2 linked regions of the Tamandua tetradactyla genome follow. Each later gene encodes a partner of the first gene's protein in a complex. Links are inferred from orthologs where the notes say so. Each region holds a gene or a part of one and is shown on either strand. Other genes may lie near its edges.

Region 1 (6,624 bases):
GGCCTGCCCCCACCCCACACGTGATACAGGGCCTTGAAAATGCGCAGAACCACGGGAGGAACACAGCTCAGTGCCTGGCACAGCACAGGCCCTTCATGTCCAGAACAACTGACCTGCAAAGAGCTTCAGGCCCCTGGACCTCCTCCGAGGCAGGCAGGAACTGCGGGAAGCAGGCCAAAAAGGCCTGACCCAGCCTGTCTCCTTGGAAGAGGCTCAGAGTGAGAATGGGAGCTGCACTCACAAGGTGTGGGAAGTCCACTAATATGGGGGGGGTGGGCAGGGAGGTGCAAGCCAGGGCCCATCCCTCCTCTACCCACAACCCTCCATGCTCCCACCTCACTTGGGGAAAAGCCCATATGGCACCCCCAGCCCCTTGCATGCCCTGCCCCGTCCCCTCCCTGCCTGCCACTCCTCCCTTTCCCTCTCCCTCCCTCCAAGCCCCAGCCCCGTGGGCCTCCTCACTGCTCCTTCAACCCACCAAGCCTGGTCCTGCCTCAGGGCCTTTGCACTGACTATGCCCTCTGCCTGAAACACTCTTTTGCCAGAGCTTTGCAAGGCTTGCTCCCTCCCACCCTCCCTACAGCTCTGTTTAAATGTTGCCTCAGGGCCTTTACACTGACTATGCCCTCTGCCTGAAACACTCTTTGGCCAAAGCTTTGCAAGGCTTGCTCTCTCCCTCCCTATAGCTCTGTTTAAATGTTATCTTTTCATGAGAGTCCATTCACTCATCCCCTCTCTCTGCCTCCACCTGGTCCAGCCCCCACCATTGACCACCTAGACCTGAAGTTGCCTCTACCTTGGTTCTCCAGCTCCCGCCCTCACCTCCCATAGTCTGTTCTCCCTGAGGCAGCCAGAGGGCACCTGTGAGCAACTAAGACTGGGCCTGTCCCTCCTCTGCCTACAACCTTCCATGGCTCCCACCTCTCTTGGGATAAAAGCTCAAGTCCATCCCATAGCCCACCAGGCTCTGCGCACCCTGCCCCATCACTCTCTCCCTTTCAAGGTGGGGAAGCCATAACCCCAAGCTCCAGCACACTCAACTTACCTGCTTGCTATGTTCCTGAAGGTCGTCTTGGATCTTCTGAAGCTGTGGCAGGATGGGGATCAGGCCAGAAAGTGGTCAATGGAGGTGAGTAAGAGTCTGGGGTGTCAGCAGCACATGTGCTTCTCCCCAGCTGTGTGACCCTGGACAAATCACTCTGCCTCTCTGGTCCCTACTCTTACCTGTTATACCCCGAGTTAATCAGGGAGCCCACTGGACTTCATTCTCAACAGGAACTGAAGGTCAACATTCTCCCTTTGCCCAGTCCACTCTCCATCCTCCTTTCCTCGCGCTCACTCCCTTCACTCTAGTCACAGAGCCTCTTCACTGTTCTTCCAACACACCAGGCTCTGTGTTGCCTCAGGGCCTCTGCACTGGCTAGTCCCTCTGCCAGATACACTATTCCCTGTTTTTTCTAGGGGTGGCCGACTCTTATCCTCCATGTCTCATCCTGATTAACACCTCTTCTGATAAACCCTTCCTGCTACCTTAGCTCAAGAAAATCTTTCCTTTCGCCCCTGTTACCTGTTTGTGAAACTGGTTTCTCTATTACCTTGTCTGTCTCCCCTACACCTAGAGTTGTGCTGTCCATCGAAGGAGCCACTAGCAAGGGAAACTATTTAAATTAAATCAAGTTAAGAATTCAGATCCTTAGTTGTATCACCACATTTCAAATGGATTGCAGGTACCAATTTGAACTCTGTAACCATGGAACATTCCCATCGTGGTGGAAAGTTCTAGAAGACTGCCCTGCATTAGCGGGTAGATTCTCGAAGAGCAGTGCTCCAAACATCTGCCGTATCCCTGAACATCCAACCTGGTCTGAACCATCACTCACTTTCAATATGGAATTTCTAGTTTTCACTGCAAAGTCAGTAAAGGGAAAAACTCACCCAGAGAAGCGGGCTCCATTACTCGCTTGCCCACAGTAAGCAAAAAATAAGTCAAGGTGGAAGTAGTCCCTGAACAGGATTCCTGAAGCTAAAGAGGTCAGCCCTTCAGGGCCCAGGGGCTGCAGCAGCCCCCTGTTGGGAGCCCAGGTACCTGCACCATTCCCCCCTCCCCTTACATCACCTGCTCTGAGGGATTGCCGGGTCTGGCTCACCAAGCAGTAAATGTTCTCCACCTGTGCCATCAATTTGGGGGAAAACCTGAGTGGGGGAAGAAAGACTGACTAGAAGCAGCAGCTCAGGAGGCCCCAGAGTATGAGCCCCCCGGCCCCTCAACTCAACCCCAACTGCAGGGCAAATATTCACTCCAAGAGCCAAATTTACGGTGGCACCCAAAAGCTCAGTGATCAAGAAAATAAGATTTTAATGCAATATTTTCCAACAGTGTCAAATGTAAGGTTACCCATTTCGTGCTGAATGCAATATTAAAATTTTAAATAAAAGCCAGAATCAGTATTACTGAGTTTTCCTTTTGCCATCTGCTCCATTCTGGTCCCCCAGATCCCCACCCCCCCACCCCTACCTCCTTTACTGACCCAGAGGCTTCTGGGTCACCCATAAGGGCCCCAAGGATAGGGACCAGGAAGGATCCTTTCCCCTTTTGGTGGGATGCAGGGCTGCCTCAAATCGCCCTCACCTGGAGAAATGTAACTTGAATTCTTCCAGTTTGTCCAAAGCTGTCAGCTCCTGAGGGTCCTTGGAACTAGAAGACTGAGTTTCAGCCTGGATTAAAAAAAAAAAAAAAAAAAAAGTCAGTAGAACTGAAGAAGATTTTCAGGCGCTCAGACTTTCAGGTCTCATCAGCATCTCATCTGATGCCTCCTTAGCGCTACCCTGAAGTCCCCTGGGATTTTGACCCACCCCCGTAGAGATAAGGAAGGTCCTTCTAAAACCTGAAGTTAATTGGCTTTCTCTCTCGGTATTTAAGTACCAGCAGAATAGCTTTAATTTTTCCCCCTGGCCCACAAAGTCTAAACTATCTATCATCCAGCCTTTTGCAGAAAAGTTTGAGCACCTCTGCCCTAAACTGCTAGAAAAAGTGGGTTCTCGGAAGGGCTGGAGGAGGGAGGCTTCTGCTTGTAAAATATGAACTTGGATGATGTAGTCCTGTGTTTTATCACCTGTGTCATCAGAAGTCAATTTAATTAAAAAAGAAAGTGTCTTGACACCTGGGACTCCAGGTGCCAGTGATGGGTGAACACTACCAGCTGGGAGGCATGGCTAGCATTAGCCCATCTCACAGGTGGATTCACAGATCGGGAGCAGCAGAAATGAATGAGGCCTTATCCCCCTAGTTCCCTAACTTCTGAGACACCCCCCCCCCGCAGCTCCCATGCTTGTCCCCCCTGCTGATGCCAAACCACGTCTTCCTCACCAAGGTTCCCGCTGTCTTGACGTTCACGACCCCATCAGAGTGCCCCTGGGAGTTGGGTGGGCTCTGAGAGGTCATCTTCAGACTCTGAAAGGAAAAAGGAGATGGCAAGTCCCCTGAGAGCAGAAATCCCAGCAGTTCCAGGGGGAGAAGCAACCCCCATCGTGTCCCAAGGCCTCCTGCCCCACACACCATTGTCTCTCTCCAGGACACAGTCCTGTACCCCCAACCCCTCCCCTGACCTCCAGCTTCCTCACAGCGTTCCTAAAACCTATATTCATTCATCAAACGCTCTCTGGTGCCTCCAGCTGTCCTGATTAACAGTGGGGACCCAAAAAGGACTGGGCCCTGGGCCTCACCCTATGATGTGGGATAGGACACACAGACTCTCTGCCCAGAATACGAACCAAATAAACCTCGGTTTTGAGATAATTTTTCAAAGCAGGGAAGATCTTTGGAAGTGGGTTTTGAAGGATGAGTAGGAGTTAGCTAGCGGAGATGGGAGGAACTTAACAGGCAGGAGCAAAGCAACCTCTCTCGCCTCTAATGACTCATAAGGCCCCAAGCCCCTTCCTTACTTCGCTGTGTCCTTCAAGGCCCTTCCAGCCTCCTCCCCAGTCAGGAAACTTGGCCACCAACTCACCTCCCCAAGGGTGGGGGCCCAGGGCAGGAGCTGTAGGGACGGCACTGCAAGGGTCGGTCAAGTTCAAGCCAAAAGAAAGCTTCTCCTCCCCCTGGGGGCCATTTGACCTGACCCGGCCCCGCCCCGGCCCGCCCCGGCCCCACCCCGGCCCCGCCCGGGCCCCGCCCCGCCGCCACCTGGTCCGTGAAACTGGTCAATGAATGAGCAGCAGCTGCACGTGGGCTCGGGATCCGCAGGCGACCGCCGGAGGCGCTGGCCAATCGCGAGGTCGATTGCCCACGTGGGCCGCGGCCGCCGTGCCCGATTGGTCGGTTTGCCGCGGTCGCCCGCCAGGCTGTCACTCATAGCGCCGCGAGCCTTCGCTTAACCCTTGCTGTCCCGCTGCGGGAAAGAGTGGCGTGCAGAGCCGCAGGCTGTTTGGGATCCTGGCAAACGGTGGGGCTATAAAGGGGCGGGGGGTGGGGGTGGGGAGCTGGGGTTTAGGGGTCAGAGGGTGAAACTGGGGGAAGGGCTGGGTGGCCTAAGGTTGCATTATCTGGTAAGAACCCTGATTGCTTGGTCCGGCCAGGGGTTAGCTTATGAGGGGCTTGGGGTTTTCAGCACCTCGAGATCAAGCCCCTTTCAGGAGAGAATTTAACAACTCCGGTTTATCCCCGGCTTCCTGTGAGCCAAACTCTGGGCTAGGCGTTTTATCAGTGAATTTTCCCAACTGCCCTTCCTTGGAGAAAGCGGAAGAGCAGATGTCTCCAGGCTGGCAGGCCAGGTTGAAGTCTACGGTGGGAAAGAGCTGTGGGCGTTCCAGGCAGAGGGAGAAGCCAGGGCAGAAAGCCTGCAGCCGTTGTTGGGAGCGTGAAAGGATGCAGCCTGCTGTGTACACAGTTTGGCCCTGGCCGTTCTCAGAAAATACAGAATTACCATGTGAGCCAGCAATCCCAAGTCTCAGCATATATATATATATATATACCCTCAAACTGTTGAAAGCTGGGACTTGAACAGATAGCTGTGCTCCTAGCGATATTTTTCTCAAAAGCCAAAAGGTGGGAGCCACCCGAGTGTCCATCAACAGATGAGTGGGGAAACAAAATGGGGTCCACGCAGGCGATGGAATATCATTCGGCAGTAAAAAGGAAGGACTTTCCAGTCTCCGCTAATATGTGGCTGAAATTTGAAGACCTCATGTTGAGTGAAAGAAGCCAGATGCAAAAGGATAAATGTTGTATGGCTTTGCTTACATGAAATAACTAGAAGATGCAAATTAGTAGGGATAGAAAGTAGAGTCCGGGGTTAGGTGTGGGGAATGGGGAGTGAACGCCTAATAGGTGCAGAGGTTGAGGGGGATAGAAAAGAGTTGGTAAGGGCTAGTGTTGATGGTAGAACAACACTGCAAATGTAATAAACATAGATGCATCATATACTTGGAAAGGGTTAAAATGAAAATATGTGGATGTTACCATAATAATTTTTTTTTTAAAGCTCTGAAGTGGGGAATAACTGGACCACTTCGGTTTGGACTGGATGGGGGCAAAAAAGAAACTCCAGAAGGGATGATAACAGGAGGTGAGGACAGAGGGGTGTGTTTCAGGGAAGCCTCCTGTGGGTATAGGAGTGGGATTTATGGGGTTCAGGAGTTCTGTTTTGGGCCAATATTAAAATGCCTATTGCAGATGGTAATTGGTCTGTCCAGAGTTCTGCCCCAGGGCCTTTGCACTGGCTTGCTCCCTCACCTCCTACAGCTCTGTGCTCAGAGGTCACCTCCTCAGTGAATCCTCCACTGAGGATCCCTATTAAAAAAAACAAAAACAAAAAAAACCAATCCCCTTAGTCTCCTTTTTTTGCTTTATTTTTCTCCAGTATGATTTGGATTGGAGCTGACCTTGTGATACATCACAGTGGTTTCACAGGATGGCTCTAAACCCGGCCTGTGTTCAAAATCAATGTAATGCTGGTGGGATTCTCATCCAGAGCCATCACTACCACCCCTGGTTCCTTCTCCTCACTCACCACACCCTTCTAGCACCCGGAGGTTATGATGTAAACATGTAATATTGTGGGTTCTGTGGCTGGTGTATGGAGGAGAAAGTGAGAGCTGTTTTGTAGGAGATACAGAAAGCCTTTCACCCCCAATCCCTCAACCCGTCCTTCATTGAAGTGTATTTTATTTATGGACCAACTGCTAATTGCCTCCCTCTATGCCTCTTCCCCCAGCACATCCGTTTATCTACAGCTGCACTGTCTCAAGTGGTAGCCACTGGGTGCATGTGTCTACTTAAATTAAAATGAGATAAAATTAAAACTTCTGAGTTCCTCAGTTGCACTGGTCAGTTGCAAGGGCTCAGTAGCCATGTGTGGCTGGAGACTCCTAGACTGGATATTTTCATCCAAAAATGTTTTCAGCCCCCCAATTCCACTGAACGGTCCTGATCTGAGGTTCTCAAAAATGAAAGGTGGAAATATTAAACTGCCCCATGTGGAGAAGTCACAATCACTGGGGATGCCAATTTGATGGACCAGTCTTGATCTTGATCTTGGGGCTTGCTCTTATGAAACTTATTCCTCCAATGGGAAAGCTCAGCCTACCTATAATTATGCCTAAGAGTCACCCCCAGAGAACCTCTTT
Region 2 (5,826 bases), on another chromosome or scaffold:
ATGTTGAGTTTAAAGATTTGGGGAAGAGTGGAAATGTTAAACATACTGCTTCTATGCTTGGAAAAGTAGAAGTCTGGAAGTGTTAATAATGCACATGTCACAATGACCTCCTCTACTGAAAGAATTGACTTATACCAGAATATTTTCTGGCACGTAGACAAGTGGCTTTGATGGGTTGATAAATTTTTGTAAGATGGGAAACTAAAATTTTTTTTATCTTTTCCTCCCATAATCCCATCTTTAATACTTAAAATTTTTTAGACCGCCAATGCTGATGTTCCATTACAATGTCCCATTAGATTTTTTTTTTTTTTTGCAAGAGCAGGCACCAGGAATCGAACCTGGGTCTCTGGCATAGCAGGCGAGAACTCTGCCTGCTGAGCCACCATGGCCTGTCCCCCATTAGATTTTATAACGTGCACAGGCCTTGAATTTTTTCTCACTTTACTTCAAAAGAAAGGTTGATTCATAACGTATATTCTCTTTTGTAAAATTCTGGTATGAAAGTCTCATCTCTCCAAACATACTATTTACAAAATGTTTGTGCACATTTATAATCCTAAATTCTTATTTGAGAATGTGAAAGTATAATAAACAGTCTTATCGAGTGCCAAGAATACAGAAAAGGAAGGTAGTTGATGAGTGAATATATAGAGTTCTAATCTTAAAACAGAAAAAATCTACAAAGACCATGCTGTTTTTCAAGCATCAATTTCTTAAGCAGCCCAAATCTAAGCTCAGAAGAAAGGTTTCATATTAAACACCTTTAACTTTCATGGATAAGCTTCAGCTTCCTCTTGCCAAGAGAAGAGTGCTTGAGTAACAGAAGGCATTAGTTTGAGGAACTTCACTCTTTTTATAAAATTCCAGATATCAAAATAGATTTTGATATGTAAATGAATTTTCTGGGATGACACTATAACCATTTTGCCTGGACTATCTAACCAGTCCTATGAATGTATCCCTAAATGTGGCTATTGAAAACAAAATAGCTGCCTCATGTCTAATCAAATGCATGGTATTTAAGGAAGGAAAAAATTAAATTTTGAATTGAGTGTGTAGGCTCCCTGTCATTATAGTTTTTTTCCACACTAGTCTATAACTTAACCTAAATCATAAATATGTGTAAAGGGTTAATTGTCCTGAATCAAACTTTTATTAAATAATTCCATCCGCTTAAGGAGGAGGTAGAAGCTGGACACTAATTCATGTACCTGTGAATCAGTAAACACTGAATGAGTGCCCCATGTTGAGCTGGTAATTTTGACACATAATAAAAATTATATTCTTGGAGGTAATACAATAAATGATTCTATTAACTGGAAGATGGCATAATGTGACCATACTTCAGTACAGTTTCTACTGTGGGGTGAATAGGTAAAAATTGTATCGTATGGTAATTGATTTAGGTGCTAAAGCAGAGAATCTGCAGATAAACTTATGCAATTTATAATTTGTTCAGAGTTGTTTTCATTTGGGTAAGGAAGTTCTGAAATATCCTCCAAAGCAGTTTACTTAGTAATTGAAAGTCCTCCAAAAATAGAACTATTGGGAAATCATTGTGCATTTACAACAATGATTTCCACTAGAGAGGGAAAGGGAAGATTCCTTCATGATAATAATTTTAAAGAGAGGCAAATGTGGGAGAATTTTGACATACGTTAAATTTGGGCGTGGCGGTGGTAAATGGGTGTTCTATTACTTTGTGCATATGTAAAACCTTTCACAATTTAAAATTTAATTAAAATTGAGAATACTGGAGAGAAGTGTCATCTGTAGAAGTTGTGTCTTAGGATGGTGGGAGTAAACGGTATTTGTCCACACCAGCTACGTTTTCTATAATGACTACCTCTGACATTTTATTTAAAACATGACACAGTTTTGCTTGAATGATTTCGAGATAGTAACCCTCTGGAAAGAGTCAGAAGATAATGGGGGCTGAGAGGAGAGATTTTACAGATTCAAGGAACCTGCTTCCATCCACCTGATCTACCTACCTACGTCTGGAGGGCAAGGTGGAGACCTTAACCTTGGCGATAAAGGTGATTCCAGGTCAACAAGGTCGCCAGTTCCACCTCGTATTGTTAATGAGTTACATGCTGGGGCAGGGACCTTTGAGGCTATGTGATACCTTACTAGGTGGGGCCGACAATGAAGAGCAAGGGAGACATGTTTGGAGTTCAAATAAATTCTTGTTGAAGGCCGAAGTGAAGCCTGAGTGATTGACACAGAGCAGGAGGCGCCTCAGGGCGCCCAGGTGGGAGCACCAACCTCCACGTGGCAGCTAAATCCGGAGGTCAGGGATGGGGGGCGGGGGGCGTGAGCTCTGCCGGAAGGGGCGGGGCTGGTCAGGAACCTTAATGCAGGATGAGGGGGCGTGGGCTTCGCTGGGGTCTGGACTCTCCTGAGGGCCGCACCGTCCTGAGCATGGTGGACGACGCTGACGCTGCCGGGGTCCGCGCTGCGGAGGCCCGTCCTGCTGAGGCCCAGGATGACAAGCAGGTGCCTGCGGCGTCCCACAGCAGCCTGCCCAGGTTATTACTCCCGGTGCCACGGATTCGCGTCCGACCGTGGTGGTTTCCCGTGGAGGACCTGAAGGACCCGCTGGTGTTCCACCTGGAGGCATGGCTGGTGGACCCGATCTTCGGTGGGTGACCGGGGGTTTGCTCCTAGGCTAGCCCCCACAGCTGGAGAGCGGACTGCAGAGCAACCCTGCGGCCGCCTTCTCGGACTCGCCTGCGCGCGTCTGGCGCCAGCCCAAGGACACCAGCCCCCAGCTGTTCCCTCGGCCCAGCAACATTCCCTTCTTATCTAGCGCCGCCAAACCCGCGACTGCCCCGCGGCTCACAGTCTCTCCTTCCCTGTTTAGGCGCAGACAGAGCAACCATTGCGAAGATTGAGTGGATGAGCCAGGCTCTGCTGATGGTGGACACAGTAGACTCGGAGGGCCTCGCCGAAATCACCGTCTTCGGCCGGCCGCGGGTACGGAACCGGGTGAAGAGCATTCTCCTGGGTCTGGCAGCGTTACACCGGGAACGTCGTTTCAGAGGTGAGGGTCTGGGCGAACCTGCATGTGGAGAGAGCCACGTATCTCCTTTCTGGACTTGCCTGGCTTCTTCCGGCCTCTCTTCTGAAAGTAACTCTTCAGAGTTTCCAAGCCCCAAGAAGCTGTACCCAGCTGCTGGGGATCGCTTTGGGAGGGAGCCCGGGGTAGGGTCTCGGAAAGGTAAGCAGAGGTCTGGCGTAATTGGGAGCCCGTCGCTGCCCAAGCCAACTACAGGTGGACTCCATCACCATTCCCAGATCCCGGTTCATGTCTCCACCCCGAGAAACGGTGTTGCCAGCACCTTCCCTTACTGCCACCTATTAACAAGTACAGTACAGTCTAAAACAGCAAGCACTTTTCCAAACTGGTGGTCGGCATCAATTGTTTTTCCTCCAGCTGAGAAGATGAAACGACTTGAGGACTTCTTAAAGTCTCATGCATCAGGCGCCCAGACTACCCAGCATCCTGTTGCTTAAGACAGAATGAGTATCCTCAGGAGTATTGTGAGCCAGCCTTCTGCTACTAAAGTTGAAGGAAAACAAGTATCGTTCAACTTTCATTCCAGTCTCCTGTGTCTCAGTGAATAATAGTTTGATTATTTTGGTGCAAATGTGAGTTTGTGTTCTTCCAATAAAGAAATGAATTTCCTTGCTTTTTTTGTCCAATGGCCAAAGATCTTTGATCACTTAAAGTTACTCCAATTTATAAAAGACTGACTCGGTTCATTTCTAGGTTTAGGTAGAAAGCTAAGCAGTGTCTTTTTTTTTCTTGTTTTTTCCTTCCATTTTGGAACTTTTATGGCTTTATGGTTATGGTCAGGCCCTCAAACCCAGGGGACAAAGATGCAGGGGCAGATGACCTCACAAATGGCCAGTCTGTTTTGGTGAACAAGACTGGTCTTGTTTTTTGTTTTTTTTTTTTGACCAAGCTGCCAGGTTTACTTGCACGCCTATACCCCCTCCCTTTCCTGTCCTGACTATCTTAAAAATAATCTTGCAGCTTTGGGATTGCAGAGAAAAACAGCTCTGTGTTTGCAAGGGGTGGGTGGGCAACAACTTCAGATCCTAACTTAGCTATTCTAAGTATCAGTCACCCCCTGACCTCCCTCACCTCTCTCCTTCTCACACCTGTTACCCAAGCACCTGAGAGGCTGTCTAGTTAGTTCCTTATCTCCCTCCCTCCTCTTTCCTTGCCTTCCAGGCTCCAGGAGACCTCAGCACAACTTAAATAGACCCCCTCACCCATCCCGCTGGAACCAGATAGTCCTAATTGCAATGTCAGTAAATCACTCACCAGGTCCCAGTGGTCAGCTCTCCATACTGTCTTCTGGTGCTTTTCATATCACCAATCCCAAGCCCTTAAAATGTTTGCAGGGTATTTCCTTTTACATTGGTTCTGAAACTTTAAAGTGTGTTAATCACTGAGAGCTTGTTGAAACACAATTTCCTAATCCCCTTCTCAAGATCCTGATTCATTACATTGTTGGGGGGCATTAGTTTGCATTTCTAACAAGCTCACAGGTGAAACTGGTGTTGAGATTCTCACTTTGAGAACTCCATTCCACCTTACTTTAGTCAGAACACATTAAATCAATGTTTAGTCAGGAACACATTAAATCAATGTATTGATTCATTGGAAATTTGGAAGCCTATTTTAGGGAGAAACTGAAAGGATTCAGTAACCTTTAAAGAAGCAAACAGAAGACCTTACAAGCAATTACTATCTGGAATGGATTTCTATTGGAAGTGAGTTATCCTTTTATAGATGCTGATTAAACTGGAATTAGAGTGAAGACCTTAGCATTTGAAATCTCCTCCTCAGAAATAGATAAATCTAGCCAGATTATTCAGATGACATTCTTTAAGAAGAGAGTTTGCTTTCTACACGAAAACATGGCTATTAGCAATAAACTTGAAACAACTACTAAATAGACGAAACAATATAATAAATTCATATTTAGTATAAGTCTGCTGTGAAGATGGGTAAACACAAAAGGAATGAAATGGGAAAAATGAAGGCAGTAGTGTCAGAGGAAGGGGAATGTGCATAAATGGTATCCCTTTTACCCACTTTCAAGCAGTGATAGCATTTTTAAAATACTCTTTTATGACAGTAAATACATATGATGCTGTAGTCACATCCTAAAGTCAAGGTTATACAGGAAAATGCCAAAGTCTCCAGACTACTGTCTCAAACCCACTCATTTCCTTATTGGTATTCATTTTTTTTTTAGTAGTTTAATTTGTGCTTTTACAGAATTGCATATACTTTTCTACTACCATGATTTTCCTCAGTATGGGTACCCTTTAACTCTTTCATTATTTGATTAGTTTTTTCCAGATTTCTCAACTGCACACAATGCAGTGCTGAATTTCTACTTCCTTCCTTGTGTCCACATTGAACTGTTGCTGAAGGAGCTTCCTAGAAGTGGAATTGTGGGTTGAAGAATGAGCACCTTTAAAATTGATGTAAAAACTGATGTACTGCCAAGGCACTGGTGCTTTGTGGATTCTGCTCAGGACAAGGAAGAGCAAGAGGCCAGGAAGTCAGTGAGAAAGCTGCTGCAGGTAACAGAAGAACATAATACTAAGATTTGAAGCATGGTGGTAGCGAAGGAACAGGCCAGCCTATTGACAGCAGCACTGTCCAATAGAAATATAATACAGGCCAATTAAATTTTAATTGAAATTAAATTAGCTAAATTTTCTAGTAGACATTTCTTTAAATTAAGATATGAGCAAAACTAATATATTTATTTAACCCAATATGTCCAAAATATC

Evidence for each region.
Region 2: the proteins of TLE6 (region 1) and OOEP are in contact, whole or in part, in a cryo-EM structure (PDB 8H94), measured with the Mus musculus proteins. The link is inferred for Tamandua tetradactyla from reciprocal best matches to the Homo sapiens genes TLE6 and OOEP. Residues at the interface, in NP_444484.1 of Mus musculus: Trp256, Ser258, Phe304, Thr305, Arg306, His307, Val318, Asn320, Val322, Asn323, Glu332, Ser333, Asn354, Ser355, Arg356, Leu373, Ala374, Ala375, Pro376, Ser377, Leu378; in NP_080756.1 of Mus musculus: Arg32, Pro33, Trp34, Trp35, Pro37, Gln39, Glu40, Glu67, Trp70, Met71, Gln73, Gln94, Pro95.

The regions. Positions count from the first base shown.
Region 1 is NC_135337.1:79,424,799-79,431,422, forward strand, and holds the start of TLE6 (transducin-like enhancer protein 6), read right to left. Parts: upstream 4,130-6,624; 5' UTR 4,008-4,129; intron 3,452-4,007; 5' UTR 3,443-3,451; coding exon 3,368-3,442; intron 2,716-3,367; coding exon 2,630-2,715; intron 2,194-2,629; coding exon 2,148-2,193; intron 1,088-2,147; coding exon 1,046-1,087; intron 1-1,045. UniProt on the Homo sapiens protein: Component of the subcortical maternal complex (SCMC), a multiprotein complex that plays a key role in early embryonic development.
Region 2 is NC_135331.1:129,283,569-129,289,394, reverse strand, and holds OOEP (oocyte-expressed protein homolog), read left to right. Parts: upstream 1-2,354; 5' UTR 2,355-2,367; coding exon 2,368-2,647; intron 2,648-2,869; coding exon 2,870-3,049; intron 3,050-3,442; coding exon 3,443-3,522; 3' UTR 3,523-3,698; downstream 3,699-5,826. UniProt on the Homo sapiens protein: Component of the subcortical maternal complex (SCMC), a multiprotein complex that plays a key role in early embryonic development.